4 linked regions of the Drosophila melanogaster genome follow. The protein of the gene in region 4 purifies or fractionates together with the protein of the main gene of each other region. This does not show direct contact. Each region holds a gene or a part of one and is shown on either strand. Other genes may lie near its edges.

What was found.
Region 1: the proteins of CG10209 (region 4) and sala purify together in Drosophila melanogaster (affinity purification with western blotting, with the first as the bait; one study listed by BioGRID). This does not show direct contact.
Region 2: the proteins of CG10209 (region 4) and kin17 purify together in Drosophila melanogaster (affinity purification with western blotting, with the first as the bait; one study listed by BioGRID). This does not show direct contact.
Region 3: the proteins of CG10209 (region 4) and CG9667 purify together in Drosophila melanogaster (affinity purification with western blotting, with the first as the bait; one study listed by BioGRID). This does not show direct contact.

Annotation. Positions count from the first base shown.
Region 1 is NT_033779.5:11,482,923-11,487,461, forward strand, and holds sala (spalt-adjacent), read left to right. Parts: upstream 1-1,784; 5' UTR 1,785-2,109; intron 2,110-2,258; 5' UTR 2,259-2,292; coding exon of another isoform or gene 2,293-2,805; 5' UTR 2,806-2,832; exon of another isoform or gene 2,833-2,861; intron 2,862-3,159; 5' UTR 3,160-3,287; coding exon 3,288-3,299; intron 3,300-3,369; coding exon 3,370-3,786; 3' UTR 3,787-4,027; downstream 4,028-4,539. Other genes in the region: CG43355 (uncharacterized protein), read left to right, coding at 2,293-2,805. UniProt on the Drosophila melanogaster protein: Likely to be involved in the establishment of the head.
Region 2 is NT_037436.4:20,354,930-20,358,845, forward strand, and holds kin17 (kin17), read left to right. Parts: upstream 1-1,877; 5' UTR 1,878-1,967; coding exon 1,968-2,939; intron 2,940-3,011; coding exon 3,012-3,212; 3' UTR 3,213-3,402; downstream 3,403-3,916. Other genes in the region: CG5618 (uncharacterized protein), read left to right, coding at 1-58, 376-1,351, 1,416-1,604; CG5665 (uncharacterized protein), read left to right, coding at 3,583-3,778, 3,848-3,916.
Region 3 is NT_033777.3:8,124,757-8,128,291, forward strand, and holds CG9667 (uncharacterized protein), read right to left. Parts: upstream 1,602-3,535; 5' UTR 1,560-1,601; coding exon 1,557-1,559; intron 1,496-1,556; coding exon 1,473-1,495; intron 1,410-1,472; coding exon 1,249-1,409; intron 1,188-1,248; coding exon 556-1,187; 3' UTR 534-555; downstream 1-533. Other genes in the region: CG7878 (uncharacterized protein), read left to right, coding at 1-9, 67-382; Arl8 (ADP ribosylation factor-like 8), read left to right, coding at 1,964-2,086, 3,285-3,439, 3,506-3,535.
Region 4 is NT_033778.4:14,845,551-14,850,356, reverse strand, and holds CG10209 (uncharacterized protein), read left to right. Parts: upstream 1-1,990; 5' UTR 1,991-2,154; coding exon 2,155-2,157; intron 2,158-2,385; coding exon 2,386-2,541; intron 2,542-2,592; coding exon 2,593-3,939; coding exon of another isoform or gene 3,940-4,026; 3' UTR 4,027-4,293; downstream 4,294-4,806. Other genes in the region: SMC2 (structural maintenance of chromosomes 2), read left to right, coding at 1-194, 248-1,685.

The sequences.
Region 1 (4,539 bases), on a different chromosome or scaffold from region 4:
TATTCGTATATGAACTAACTTAAACATACGTTACATTTTTGGGCATTATAATAGAACTTGAAGCTCTTGGGATAAAAAATATATAAAAAATTATTTTAAAAAAAAACTTTACTCATTTCTTCTGGTCTCATGAAAAAGCACTTCACGGTTTGAAAATTGTGAAGAGTATATGATGAAAAGCTGACACACGTGCGCTGAAGTTAAATGTATATACCACCAGCCAAAAAAAGCATTATCGCAAATTCACCGAAACTTTTCATAAGTTTGGAGAGCGCTGGGGGAGATCGTGTTCGAGAAAAGGTTTTCCCCGTGGGTTGGGTAAAATGTAAATATCGGTGGTAATGGCCGCCGCCCCAGGAGGTGGAAAAATCAACTGACCAGTAACTTTGGAGCCAACTTTGATGGCATCTTGCGAAAGTTGAAAGTGACTTAAGTGAAATTTCCACCTCAGGCGGCTCAGCAGCAGGACGACCTCGTCCCCTTTTCCATGGATTATCGAGGGGTCACGCCATGAACATGAGTAAAAATTAAATTGATTTTCCTCGGACATTGTTCGGACCTGTTCAGAAACTCGGTGTGCTTTTCTTTTTGGCCCTTCATGGGCTTCTGTCAACCCAATGTATTTTGTCGCATCCCTCGGAAAACTTGAGCTGGGCGAACTCCTTTAACTTGCCTATGTGGCATATTAAATTGGTGCGCAAATAGTTGTGTATTTTATTGACTCACTTTTACAGCTCAGCCAAGAGTATTTCGCATCTGCCCAAATTTTTAGCCAGCAAAATATTAAGTTGAGAGCTTTACCCCTGGAGTCTACCAATGCCGCAATACCATTCCTTTTCTACTCGACTTAAGCGACAATTTCATTTCAATTAAATTATAATTATATCTTCAGTTTGGCCCCATCAAGTTTGAGTCAAACAAAAAGTACAATTTTCATTTTCACCTTTGCGAAAGACGAGGCGGGCGTTGATAATTCCCCAAAATTGTTTGACACTTCAAAGTCATTATGAAGATAGCAATCACCAAACCCTGTTCCTCGGTCCGCTCAACTTTTCTCCAAGGGTCCTGGCATATCTTCACGACATTCACTCCCTGCCACTTCCAAGGCTCAGCAATCCTTCAGCTCCAGCCTGCCCCTCGTCCTTTTGCCACTTTACTCAATCCTAAGATGGGAATTGCCACGTCTGTCTACATACCTACATACCCGCAGCGCTTTTTGATGTAATTTTGGCATAAGCCAAAAAATGTTTCCTTTTCCCGAGATGTCTTTGTCTCCACTTCATTCCCCGGCGAGTGGTTTCCGAATGCGACACGCCCTGACAAATTCATCCGGGGAAAATGAGGAAAATGGCTGAAAATTAAATTTGGAATTAAAATTTTGGCCCTGGGCACATAACTTTATGCCGCTGGATTTTCTTTCCGCCCAGAAGGATTTCCTTACTCAAGGATAAATACTTAAGGCAAGCGTAGGCATAATAATAGCTAAGCAGCTTCTCGGAAATTAAGACGATTTAGTTGTTTAATTCTTTGGTTATCACTAGACTCCACAAATAAAGAGATAGATTGAAAATGTAATTAGATAATCAAATATAATTTTCACAGTTTTAAAGTTTAACAATATTGCTTATTTAAATGGTTGCTTTTCACCTCCGAATTTACTTTTAATCTCATAAGCATTTGAACTTGTAGTATTTTTGGCGGCGATATGTTATCAACAAACAACTCTTCCAAAAATAAACCTATATATTATTTTTTGGCAACCAAATACAATGCCACTCTAAATTGTAAATAACATTTAAGCAGCTGATCCAATTCTTGTGTTCAAAACAACAAAATTCAAAGCAATTAATTGTGCGCTGGTTTTTCTTTTTGCCTTTACTTGTATTAGGAATTATTCTTTAAAATATTTATTGATAGAGAAAAAAATATCCAGACTTATATATATCAATGAATTCGGCCACTGCGTCAACAAATCGAATTCTAACTTGTTTTAGCTATTAAAAGCAACAAATAAATGACGTATTAATAAGTACGCTAAAATAAACCAGTTGCAAAACAAACATTTATTTACTGTATATTGTTTCCATTAAGATAGAAATAGGAAAAAATGTAAGTCAATGAATATATACATAGAAAATATTCTTATCAGCTTACCATATGTATGTACAACGGACGTATAAACATATATAATAATTTTTGCATATAAAAAGATTCAAATGCATCTTGTTCTCAAAAATATTAGTCATACATCTTTTCAGATCGTTGCTCTAAATTCATCTGAGACTCGATCAGATGGGCTGTCGGCGATTTTCTGGAGGAGGACATCACCCACACGGAGGTCCACCTCCCCCTCGTCACCATCATCACCATCGTGGCAGACATGGTGCTGGTGGACGCTGTGGACACGGACACCAGCACCAGCCTTTTCCACCACCGCCTCATCGCCCCCATCGACATGGAAGTCACTTTTGGGAGGGATACGGTCCACCTCCACCACCGCCCCATTATCCACCACCAGGGGGATATCTGTATGGTGGCCACCATTGGCAGGGATATCCTCCTCCGCCACCTCCGCCTCCTTCTTCACACCACCCCCCACCATCTGGATCTCCAGCAGGAGGGTGTCCGCATTGCGGTTGCCCAGGAGGCGGTCCACCTCAAAGTGGATTTCCTGGTACCGAAAGACCTCACAACGAAACCTCAAACGACGATCAGCATGGCAGCTTCCAATCTCCAATTCCCGGTGGCGAAGTTCCTACTGATGAAATACCTGGAAAAAATAAATACGAAATCATTGATATTTAGACAACAGTAGAAAATGTTTCAAAAAAGGTAAAGTCACTATGTTATATCTTGTATCTGAGTAATGTCTTATTAATGATTTTATATTATCCGGATTTTCCTGATCAAAAAAATCGAGTAATGTTATGTTGATAAAAACTTTTCAAATATCAAATAAATAAATATAAATAAACAAATAATTTAAAAACTCCTTTATATTTCCGTCATTTCAATATGGTACTGAATTAGTATTAGTATTCTATTCAATTCCGGATTTTTCTGTTTTTCCATTTTCCCTCTTCCAATAAACTGGTTTATTTTATTTTCCATCGTAACCAGATGTTGACGGCAATACTTTTCTGTGATTTCCTTTTACAGGTAGAGACTCAAACTTAAGTCCCTCAGCCAGGTAGAATACCTTTCAGCTACCTACTTGATATTACCAAATCGTGGTATAAAAATCAAAAAAATATTAGAGCCGCCTCAGTACCGAAACTTCAGCCACGATGAAACTACTGGTGCGTCTTCTACTATAGAAATCTTAACTAACTTAGAAATATTTTTATAATAACAAATTTATAACTATAGATTGCTCTGTTTGCACTGGTGACCGCTGTGAACGCTCAGAATGGATTCGGCCAAGTTGGACAAGGAGGATATGGAGGGCAAGGAGGATTTGGAGGATTCGGAGGAATCGGCGGGCAAGCAGGTTTTGGTGGACAAATAGGATTCACTGGACAGGGTGGAGTTGGTGGCCAGGTGGGAATTGGTCAAGGCGGAGTCCACCCGGGTCAAGGAGGATTCGCTGGACAAGGTTCTCCAAACCAATATCAGCCTGGTTACGGAAGTCCTGTGGGATCTGGCCATTTCCATGGAACTAATCCAGTTGAGTCCGGTCATTTTCACGAAAATCCTCATGAATATCCGGAACATCATGGCGATCATCACCGTGAACATCATGAGCACCATGGACACCACGAACATCATGGACATCATAGACATTAGTACAAATATGAGAATACCCATGACAAAATTAAAGGAATGTAATGCTATAGTTCTCTACCGTAAATTCTTAAGAAACACTTGCTTGTTTCTGAAGTCTCTATTGTATCTAATGTCCAGAATTGATTTGTAAAAGTGATTCTTTATCTAAAACCCCCTTGAGATCCACTATACAACGTGCCTTCTTGAATTTCAGTATCTAAAATGAAAAAAAAAACGGAGTCTCAATAAAAAAGTAAATAAGGAAACGGAACCCTTTACTCTGTCCATTTTGGTTGAGGCATCTATAAATTATTTTGCAGATAGCATACAAGCATATATACCCCACACATCCCATCTCAACTTTTGCAATCGGAGAAAAGGATGCCGTCGACCGCTCCCAAGCGACATTTTCTGACCAAAGCAGCTGACAGAATTGAAAAATAAGCGACGTCCGACTAAAAGGGGGAATGGGGAGGGAATGGTAAAGGGTGGGGTTCAGGTGGGTGGGGGCTGAAGGTGAAAAATAAAAAATGGCGTCCAGTCGAGTGCTCAACCTCAAGATTTATAACGAAGGAAAAAAAATAGAGTCGAGGTGAGGGTGGGAAAAAAGAGCACACGTTAAAATAATGCAAAAGCTGAAGAAAACTAAAAAAAATGTGCGGGAAAAACTGCCACCCACACGGCCAAGGAAAGAGTGAGAAGGAAAACCGCACACACACTGATGCGCGCAACAACGGAAATGGAAAGGATAAAATTAATTTTTCTCCTTTATTG
Region 2 (3,916 bases), on a different chromosome or scaffold from region 4:
AGCTGGACCCGTTTGGACTGGCAGGAGCCCTGGTCACCGAGGCCATGAACGGCAGCACGTAAGTCTGCGCCTTATTCCACACATGTGTCTTGTCTATATGAGTGACCGCTGATTGCATCTCGTGTTCCAATCTACAAGTGGTGTCGGGGTTCAACGTACAGATAATTGCGCTATGTAATGGAGATTGCAAAGTACTACATGTATGTTTCATAACCCCCCCCCCCCCCTTTCGATTAATTTAAATGGGGATTAAGCAGAGTTCATACACAATCATTGCAAGTTATTAATCATTTAGATGAGATTTCCTAGATAGGACTACCAAAATCAGACTTTTAACCGAGGTATCCAACAAGACACAATAAACTTTTGTTTCAGATACACCTACGAAGTTGCGCCCGTGTTTAGCTTGATCGAAACTGAGGTGATCGCGACCATCTGCAAGTTAGCGGGATACAAGGAAGGCGATGGCATCTTTGCGCCCGGTGGCTCCACCTCCAACATGTACGGCATGGTTCTGGCCCGCTATAAGATCGCGCCCGAGGTGAAGACGTCTGGAATGTTTGGAATGCGACCGCTGGTGCTCTTTACCTCCGACGAGTCGCACTACAGCTTCGTGAAGGCGGCCAACTGGCTGGGATTGGGCAGCTACAACTGTGTGTCGGTGAGGACCAATGAGCGGGGTCAGATGCTGTTGGACGACCTGGAGGCGAAGATCGCAGAGGCAAAGGCACGTGGCGGTGAACCGTTCTTTGTCAACTGTACTGCAGGCACCACTGTGTTGGGTGCCTTTGATGATATCAATGGTGCGGCGGATGTGACGGAACGACATGGTCTGTGGCTCCATGTGGACGCCTGTCTGGGAGGCGCTGCACTACTCTCCGCCAAGAACCGATCGCTCATTGCCGGCCTCGAGCGGGCGAATTCGTTTTCCTGGAATCCGCACAAAACCATCGGCGCTCCATTGCAGTGTTCACTCTTTTTGACCAGGGAATCTGGCCGTCTGCTGGAAAGATGCAACAGCACCGAGGCGCACTATTTGTTCCAGCAGGACAAGTTCTATGATGTATCCTACGATACGGGAAACAAGAGTGTCCAGTGCGGCCGCAAGATCGACGCTTTCAAGTTCTGGCTAATGCTTAAGGCTCGCGGATATGGAAAGTATGGACTCATGGTGGACCACGCCATCCACATCGCCAGGTTGCTGGAAGGCAAGCTGCGCCAGCGTGGAGATCGCTTTAGACTGGTGATCCCGGAGCACGAGTACTCCAATGTCTGCTTTTGGTTCATTCCGAAAGCAATGAGGGTGTCCAGCGAGGAGGAGACGCCTGAATGGTGGAGTCGACTTTACACTGTAAGTGAATAACAATGGCTTTGATAGACCATTTAAGCTCACATTTTTATATGCTCCTTTAAAGGTGGCCCCGAAAATTAAGGAGCAAATGGCCCACAGCGGCACTTTGATGATTGGTTACTCGCCTCTTAAAGCTAAAAATCTGGGCAACTTCTTTCGCATGGTCTTCACTTGTTTTCCCATCCTGAAAAGCAAAGAGTTGGACTTCATTTTGGACGAAATTGAGAGATTGGGCGAGAAAATTGTGCTTTGAATTATTTTCTATGTGAATTAAGCTAATTAATGGAAATCGTTCAATTGTACATTTCATTGTAGTTATTACTTTGTGATAAAAAATACGCCTTTATTATGTAAACTCGGCTTAATCTCTATTTTGAATATTTAAATAAAAATCTTTCAAGAAATGAATATTAAGTTTTTTAAATTCATTTTCTACCGCTATCAACAAATAATATTAGCCTGGTCACACGAACATCCCCCAGCAGTAACTATCGATAAAAGTGTTCACGGGTATTGTTGTTATACCCCAGCGCGGTCATACCTTTACGTGAGATCAAAACAATAAGTTTTTGTTGAGAAATTATTTGTAAAACCACGCACATAAAAAGACGCTACGATGGGTCGCGCCGAGGTAGGTACGCCCAAGTACCTCGCCAACAAGATGAAATCGAAGGGTCTGCAGAAGCTGCGCTGGTACTGCCAGATGTGCGAGAAGCAGTGCCGCGATGAAAACGGCTTCAAGTGCCACACGATGAGCGAGTCCCACCAGCGCCAGTTGCTCCTCTTTGCGGACAATCCTGGCAAATTCCTGCACAGCTTCAGCAAAGAGTTCTCCGACGGCTACATGGAGTTGCTGCGCCGGCGGTTCGGCACGAAGCGAACCAGCGCCAACAAGATCTACCAGGAGTACATTGCCCACAAGGAGCACATCCACATGAACGCCACCCGATGGCTCACCCTGTCCGACTACGTGAAGTGGCTGGGCCGGACTGGGCAAGTGATAGCGGATGAGACGGAGAAGGGCTGGTTCGTCACCTACATTGATCGCAGTCCAGAGGCCATGGAACGACAGGCGAAGGCTGATCGCAAGGAGAAGATGGAGAAGGACGACGAGGAGCGGATGGCCGACTTCATTGAGCAGCAGATTAAAAATGCCAAGGCCAAGGACGGCGAGGAGGACGAAGGCCAGGAGAAGTTCACCGAGCTAAAGCGCGAAGAGAACGAACCACTCAAGCTTGATATTCGCCTTGAGAAAAAGTTCCAGCCTGACACTGTGCTAGGGAAATCCGCTCTAGCCAAGCGACCTGCCCCTGAAGCTGAAGAAAAGGTGTTCAAGAAACCCAAATCCGTGGCTGGAGACAGCCAAACGCGGTCGGTGCTGGACGAGATCATCAAGCAGGAGGAAAGCAAAAAGGAGCGTGCCAACCGCAAGGACTACTGGCTGCACAAGGGTATCGTGGTCAAATTTATTTCCAAATCCATGGGCGAAAAGTTCTTCAAACAAAAAGCGGTTGTCCTGGACGTAATTGACAGATATCAGGGCAAAATCAAGTTCTTGGAGACTGGGGAAAAGCTAAAAGTGGATCAAGTAAGATGGAAACCCAATTTTAATCTATAACGGATATTTACCCAGGTGTTTTTATTTTTTTTTGTTTTCCAGGCTCATTTGGAGACGGTAATCCCCGCTTTGGACAAGCCTGTCATGGTGGTTAATGGCGCTTATCGGGGATCCGAGGCTCTGCTAAGGAAACTGGACGAGCGCAGATATTCAGTCAGCGTGGAAATATTGCACGGTCCTCTCAAAGGCAGAATTGTAGACAACGTGCAATACGAAGATATATCTAAACTACATGGCGCCTAGCTGCGCTTTTCTAAGTTAAATTCTATAGTTGTACCTTTTTATGCCTAATTTGATATATATGTAAGTAAAAAATCTTAACCATTTCGGAGAAAGGCTGAAATCGAACTAGACAAAAATCTGCACATAATACGTTCGTTACTTAAATTTGGACTGCTCAGCATTTGGGTTAATAAAACATGACTTTTTAATGAAAATAACTAGAACACTCTCATTTACTCAGTGTACGAATATTTCAGTGGGTATGCAAACAATATTTTCGAGTTCAGTTTGGGAACAATAAAACCAGCGAACAATGGCCGCTTTACTAGCGATAATTTCTATACTTGCAAAACTTAAACTAGTTCCAGCATCGGTGTGCTAAAGAAGGGATATGAGGATTCTGTGTGGCATTGTTATCCTATTACGCCTCGGAGCATTGGGAGATATAGCTGTTGACGAAGAGGGAAGGTTGACGCGAAGCTGGTGGGATGCAGTGCCTAGACTTTTAACTGACATCGCCACCATTAAGGCGAACATACTCACAGCTGCTCCACTTGAATTGGCTTCCAACATAATTGATGCTGTGTGTAAGGATAACGTCCTGTGTTTATCAACATATAAAAAGTTATTTGATTTTATTGTGATCTAAATGCCAGGTTCTTCCACCCTCTTTATGGACAGAATCCCTGCGCAAATCACTCCGGACATAAGGAAGATGCATTTTC
Region 3 (3,535 bases), on a different chromosome or scaffold from region 4:
GGATATCACGTAAGCAAATTTTTCGAGTCGAGGAACCCATTAGTCATTATTTTTTCATCCACAAAGACATGTCATCAACTATGATTTTCCGCACAACATCGAGGAGTATGTGCACCGTGTTGGTCGCACCGGACGTGCTGGCCGACAGGGCACATCAATAAGCTTTTTTACGCGCGAGGATTGGGCTATGGCCAAGGAACTAATTGAGATACTGCAGGAGGCGGAGCAGGAAGTGCCCGACGAACTGCACAACATGGCTAGACGCTTTAAAGCCATGAAGGACAAGCGCGCTGCTGAAGGTGGCGGTTTTGGAGGAAGAGGTGGTCGTTTTGGAGGCGGACGTGGCGGCGGACGCCGAAATTTCGATCAATTTCAATACTGATTCATTCTACATTTTCTAGTTATAAGAGACTAGAGCGCATTGAAGTGCCTTGCCAAAAATTGTTTAACTATTTATCTATTCCAATTATAGATGATCATAACCCAAAACATGCCGTGTTAAAAGAACACGCGATTTAAATGTATCAAACTAAGAGTTTAGAATGTTTATTGAGCTTAGTTAGTGCCACCGGCGTATTTCTCCAGCAGTTCCCGTTTCCGCTGGCGCAGCAGTGCTTCCTGTACATCTTGTTGCGTCGGCACGGGAACGTGAGCGGTGAACTTGGATGCCAATAGGCCATGAGGATCCTCCACGGCGGCTCGAGCCTTGGCATCCTCGATGGCTTCGCGTGCTGGTCCCGAAAGGGGATATATTTCATCCTCCTCTTCGTCATCGATTATGCGACCATCTCTGGCCATTTTCTCCCGCCATTCCTGCACGGCCTTCTGAATGGCCGCTCGTTCGATGCGTTCCTCCAGAGGGATCAGAACACCATCTTCGTCATCTCGATAGCCGTAGTATTCGGCATCTATGTCCTTCATTAGTTCAGCGCGTGATTTCCTGGGTGGCGGCGGAGGATCCTGTTCAAAGAGCTCGCGAACACCCGGCAGATCCTTGGCGGCTCCAAAGTATTTGTAGCCTCGATTGCCGGGAACTTCACGGCCCTCCGCATCGAACATCTTGGGACCATAGCGTCTATAGTGGGGGCCACCCAATGAGGATATCTGATTTTCCCAATGCCGTTTCTCACGCAATAACTTGTTGATTTCATCGTTCAGATCGCGAATCCGGAATTCTCCCAAGCCAGCTATAAGTGGTCGCTATTAGTGTATATTGTTAGGGAGAAATAAATAAACCGAAATAGGTACCATTCTGTATCTGGGCCACCTTCTTCGATATGTCGCGTATTATCTCCAGGCGGAACTTCTCACATCTGGGCAAATCGTGGCACTCGGAGGCCAAATAGGGCCGGCGTTCCTTTTCACCAGATTCCACTTCTTTTGCGGCCCGCCAACGTGCCAAAGTTGTCCTGTCGAAAATAAGCGGATGAGTGCTGGAAATCTTATGTTATACGTATATCCGGGTTACTTACATTGCCTTCTCTGCATTGCGCGCCTGAAAATATACATGTATTATTCATTTAATTAAAATTAATAAAATTTTCACATCATCTTACCATTTTGTTTACTAACTTCTTCTGCCTTAATTGCCAGTCACAGCGAACTATACGGAAATCGGTTACACGTTATCGATAGCAAGTACAGTAAATATTGTCCAGTAGCGATTTCACATATATTTTAAATGCAATTTATTAATAATATTCCCGATGAAACCCGAAGACATAATATTATTTATTTGTACTTAATATATATATACCATATGAATTTTATTTTCTCTTAATTGGATACATGCTGAAATAAACGATTACCATTCACTACGAATACTACTAAGTACACTACCGCGCACTTGGCCACACTGACCTGCCCAGTTGTTTTTTCACGACAACATTTACGCTCTTTGGAAAAGGAAACCTTTTTTCGCGAATTTCAAGCAGATCCCGACCAGAAACACACCTGCCCCAGGATGTTGGCCCTCATCAACAGGATCCTCGAGTGGTTCAAGAGCATCTTCTGGAAAGAGGAGATGGAACTCACGCTAGTGGGGCTGCAGTTCTCCGGGAAGACGACGTTCGTCAATGTTATTGCAGTGAGTATTTTCGCAGTGGGTGTGTGCGAATTCGTGTGGGTGTATGGGTGAGAGGGTGGTTTTTTTTGTGTGTGGTTGTCTGTTGTGTGGGTGGGGAGGGGGTTCACGGAAAGCCGGGGGATCAGCTACTACTTAAAAAGCATTACAAACCCCCAGTGACAAAGGAATTGGTCTTAGCTTGATTCCCCCACTCTAACATTGTTTATTTCTTATCTTTTCGTACTCCCAGTTTCTTTCACTGCATCCGTAATTAACGCTGTGCTAACCGTTTCCTTTTAGTGGTAAAGTTTACCGTTCCTGCCGCTGTAATCAATAAACCTACATATAGCCCATATATACGCATGTTTCTCCGCACAATGACGCCATTATCAGCACTTCAACCCCTGACCCCGTATTCCCGTACCGCCTCCCTGGTTTTTTTCACACATTTCTGCACGCTGATAATGCGACGATCTCAAGTTACCATTTACTGGAACTCGTAGATAGTTGCATACACTTGCCAGTCGTTGCGGGAGGTGGAGTAACTACTGCCTTTGTGACCGCCTGACTTATTATGAGTCATGTGAATTCGATTCAAATGTCTGCCCGCATCTACGGGAAATTTGTTTGTTCAAGTGCTCCCGAAACGGAAATATTCCCCTGCTTATCACTGCTATTAGACTCCAATTCCGTGTTTGCATTCAGATTCGTGCATTAGTGTAATGTTCAGGTTCGGAATGAAAACAAACTTGTGGGTGGCGCCAATTAGTCACTTTTCCCATTTCACTAGCGACTGCTAACCTATAGTATACCTTTTTAATTTAAACTAAGTCACAGAAGTAACATCTTGCCATTTTAGGAGCTTTCGATTCTCTTATTGAATGCATATGTAAGGTGATTGATGCTGATACAGAACAAAGATTTATGGGTTAGAATCAATTATCAATTTAAGTGTTGTATGTTGAATTAAATTTAGTACCAAAAGACATTGTTTGATCAATACTTTAAGATATTACAATAGTTATTTATTTAAGAGCATTTTCAAAAAGAATAACAAATTTTTTAAGGTTTTGGATGCTGTCATGTGTAAAAAATCAATTTTTTACACGAGTTTTACATTATTTTGGATTGCATACTTCTAGGCTTTGTTCTTTGCTAATATAAAAGTTGTATTTTATTTAAGACACGATTACTTACTAATTATTTTTGTTTCTTGTAGTCCGGCCAATTCGCTGAGGACATGATACCCACAGTTGGATTCAACATGCGCAAGATCACCAGAGGCAATGTGACTATCAAGGTGTGGGACATCGGAGGCCAACCTCGATTCCGATCCATGTGGGAGCGCTATTGTCGCGGCGTTAATGCGATTGTGTAAGCAATAATGATACTTAAGCAACAATCGGTAGTCAAGTAACACTGTAATGTATTAATCAACAGCTACATGGTGGACGCAGCCGATCTGGACAA
Region 4 (4,806 bases):
ATCAGCTACGACCCCCGTATTAATTGTCGTTCTGTGACTTTGGAAGGAGATGTCGTCGATCCCCATGGCACAGTGTCTGGAGGTGCTGCTCCTAAAGGTGCTAACGTTCTAGAAGAATTGCACGCAATTAAGCAAATAGAAAAGGAGTACAGGGAGATCGACTCTGAGATAGCCCAAGTGGAAAAGCAAATTGCGTAGGTGAACCAGTAACTTCTCATTGCCAATACTTACGCCTATCTGTTTTTAGATCCATTGAAAACCAGGCCCTCGCGTTCAACAAAATGAAGGAAAATCTTGACTTGCGACAGCACGAGCTAACCATGTGCGAGAACAGGTTGGCCCAAACAACCTTTCAACAGAATCAGGCTGAAATTGAAGAAATGAGGGAAAGGGTCAAGACCCTAGAGCAGCAAATAATTGACTCCCGTGAAAAGCAGAAGACCTCGCAAGCCAAAATAGTGGATATCGAGGCGAAGTTGGCAGATGCAAAGGGTTATCGCGAGCGAGAGCTGAATGCAGCCACCAACGAGATCAAGGTGACCAAGCAAAGGGCGGAGAAATCTCGTGCGAACTGGAAAAAGCGAGAGCAGGAGTTCGAAACTCTTCAATTGGAAATTACTGAGCTGCAGAAAAGTATCGAAACTGCAAAGAAGCAGCACCAGGAAATGATTGATAACCTCGAAAAGTTTAAGGCCGAGCTAGACGCTCTGAAAGTAAATAGCTCCAGTGCCGCGTCCGAGGTGACGGAGCTCGAACAGGCGATTAAGGAGCAGAAAGATAAACTGAGAGATCAGAACAAGGAGATGCGAAATCAGTTGGTCAAGAAGGAGAAAATGTTGAAGGAAAATCAGGAGATTGAGCTGGAGGTGAAGAAAAAAGAGAACGAACAAAAAAAGATCAGTTCGGATGCCAAAGAGGCAAAGAAACGGATGGAAGCCCTTGAGGCAAAGTATCCGTGGATTCCGGAGGAGAAGAACTGCTTTGGCATGAAGAATACTCGGTACGATTACAGCAAGGAGGACCCCCACGAAGCAGGCAACAAGCTGGCAAAGATGCAGGAGAAAAAGGACAAAATGGAACGCACTCTCAACATGAACGCTATCATGGTGCTGGATCGCGAGGAAGAGAACTTCAAGGAGACCGAGCGCCGGCGAAACATTGTGGCGATGGACAAGGAGAAGATTAAGAAAATCATAGTGAAGATGGACGAAGAAGAGCAGGATCAGCTGAACAAAGCCGCTACCGAGGTGAACACGAACTTCAGTGGGATCTTTAGCTCCCTTTTACCGGGTGCTGAAGCGAAACTCAATCCCGTCCATACCAATGGCTGTCTGACCGGTTTGGAGATTAAAGTCGGCTTCAATGGCATATGGAAGGAGAGTCTCGGTGAACTTTCTGGTGGCCAGAAGTCCTTGGTGGCTCTGTCCCTTGTCCTGGCCATGCTTAAGTTCTCTCCGGCTCCCTTGTACATTTTGGATGAGGTGGACGCTGCCCTGGACATGTCACACACCCAAAACATAGGTAGTATGTTGAAGCAGCACTTCACCAACTCGCAGTTCTTGATTGTGTCTCTCAAGGATGGTCTCTTCAACCACGCCAACGTCCTGTTCCGCACTCTCTTCGAGGAGGGTGTGTCCACCATCACCCGGCAGGTCAGCAGACAGGCGACAACCAACAAACGCTGAAATGGAACTCGTTTACTTTCTTATCACTTAATAAAACTTTAAAAATACCATATAAAACTGTTCTTATCATTTTAATTGTGAATTTTTTCAAGTTTTTTTAATTCGCAAAAAAGGTTGTGTATTACAGCAATATACTTATTTCAAGAGCCATCGGTCAATATACTTATTGCTACATTACTTAAATCAACGAAATAAGTAATTTAACTACAAATTTAATTTTGTAACGGTCGTTTGCGCATCAGCTGATTTCCAACCGGGCGGGCGAAACGTCAAACTGGTGAGACCGTCAAACGCACACACACACATACGCAGCGGACAGAAGAAGAAGAACGAAAGGCAGCAACAGCAATGTTTGAGGGAGTGAAAAATTAAACAAAAGTCCCCGGAATTCAGCAGCAAAAACTCGACGGCGGTTGAAAAACAAAACATCAAGATTTCGAGCCAACGCAGACTGCTTCAAAAGCTCACCATGGTAATTTGCAAGGTTCCAAAAATTACGAATCGTCCGATTCTTTTACCACACACACACACGACTTGTGCGTGTGTGTGTGCGGGGAGCAGCAAAATATTGTAGACACCGCTGGCATTTGGATAAACAATAGCAACAATTGGAGTGGTGTTCGAGGCGGGAAAAGCACCGATTTGTGGAATTTCATTCATTGGAATGTGGGATTGCTAATGAACCGTTTTACTCTTCCAGGATCGAGTGACCAAGCCGCAGAAGAAGATGCTCATCACACTGCTGCGGGAAACCAAGTACATGGAGGGCAAAAAGGAGAAGGAGTGGTATTGGGAGAAGATCCAAGCGGCCCTTAATACTATTGGTCCCAAGAAGACGATTATTCAGTGGAAAAAGGTGCGTTTACTTGCCTATTAAATCCAAAAATAAACTTTAATCTTCTTCCAGTGCTGGCGCGATATGCGACTGACCACAAGGAAAAAGCTGGCGGAACTGAAGCGCTGTCAACTCTCTGGAGGATCTCCACCACCGGGGATCGAACTAAACCAGGAGGACAACGATATCATCGACATTGTGGGCACCGAGTACTTCTACGAGGAGATGAATGGTGAGCTCAAGGCGGAGAACTTCTTGACCGGCTTGGACTACGCCCCGGAGCATCTGTGCGATGCTATTCTCACGGCAGCAGTGGGCCATCACCAGCACAATATGCAGCACCAGAAGGATCCGCAATCGCATGCAGGGCAACAGCAGCAGCAGGATCATCACACCAACGATGGCGAAACCAATGATGCTCCTGGATCAAGCAATGGTGGCTCATATCAGGGACACCCAGTATCCCAGTTGCAGGCGCACAATGGCAGCGGTGGAGGAGGCGAGCATAGCGGCGGTGGTCAATCCCACTCCGGAATGCTCCAGCACCCTGCTTTTCACGGTGGCTTGCATCCACACCTGTTGAGGCGCCAGCATGGAAGTGGATCACTATCCAGAGAGTCGCCATTTGAGGAGAAGCTTCTGCAGTTCATGCAGGATGCATTTCCAAAAAAGAGCAAGAAGCGCAAGAACCGGGATCCCGACAAGCTGTTCCTCTTATCCCTGTACGAAGAGATCAAGAGAGTTCCGGAGGAGATACGCCTTGATGTAAAGTCCGAACTAATGCAGATACTGAAGAAGTATCAGAAGAAGTCGCCTGTCAAAGCGGAGAAGCCCGCGCCCTCCTCTACGTCAACCTCCTCAAAACTCAGCTCTAGCAGCAGTGGCAGTAGCACGGTGACTACTCACTTGTCCCACAGCATGTACCAGTTGCAAAAGAAATACGAAAAGGGCGAGCGTGAACCATCGCCTCAATCACAGGTAGAGCGAGTAGCATCTGCAGGCGCAGTTGCTGTGCCCATTCATACCTCCCAGCAGCTGCCTCTTTTCCAACTTCAGAAGAAGTACGAGGAGAACAGCGTGGAGAAGGTTCATCAGCAGCAACAGCAACAGCAAAGCGAGCAACGCAAGCATGTGGAGGCCGCTCAGGCCCTTCATGCTGCCCACCAGCAACCGCCTCCACCGCCACCCAATGAGCACCTGCACCACCCCCAGATGGCCCACAACATCATGTTTCCGCTGGGACAGCTTCGCAACGAGCAGCCGACCGCACAGCAACACCAGCATGGCCACAATCCCCACCAGCAACAGCAACAGCATCCCCACCAGCAGCAGCAACAGGGACAGCAACACCATCCGCCAACGATCTTCGGATCGACCGCCAGCGAACGGCCTCCAATGTCCTACGAAAATGTCGGATGAGTCCTGAGCCGTCTGTGGGAAGCCACTTGTGGAGCACCACGCCCTGCGACGGTGTCCCCCACGACGGCAGACGCGCACAGCTGTTAGCCCTCGATTTAGACGGCAATTCGTAGGTCTCATTCTTATGCTAGCCTATACCTAAGTACACATTGCTCACTACACTACTACAGTCAAAAATGGTGCAGTCAATGAGGAAGATACTCCTGATGTATGCCATTTTGTAGTAAGTGGATGCCGTGATCCTCATGTAAATGTTCCCGTGGCAATAACAGCGTAGCTCAACTGTGACTCAAGTTCTCAATAGATCGCGACGCATACATTTTTTCGGTGTAAATACAAATATAATTGAATCTTAAAAACTGTGGATGTTTTTTAGTTCAAGTAAAATGATTGATCCCCAACTTCTGGCAAGAGCTCCCTATTCCCAGGTTTTTGTTTTTCTGGCCAAATCGGAGAAGTCATTGGCTTAGCTCTGAGGTGGAATCCACAATCTTGTTTGTTTGGACTTTGAAAAGCTGTAAATCCGGCAAGCGGTCCGTCGTTAAGCTGTCTTCAGGAATATCTAGTCTTCATCTCTCGTAACGCGATAACGAAACCCACAGGGAGCACGCCATATCATAAAGATAGTCAAACAGCTGACTGATCCGGTCTGCCTAAGTGCGAATTTCAACTGAGCGCTGCCGATCGCCGAACTCGTCGTTGTCTGTCGCATGTTGGGCAGGTTGATGAGCGATCACGAGCCGAGCTGCAGCATAGTCCGCCAGATCTGCGGCGCTTATCAGTGGCGTCCGGCTGGGATAAAGAGATACAGATACAGATACAGGCGGATCGACTGGAGGCAGACTGGGTCTGGCATTCTTTTCCGGC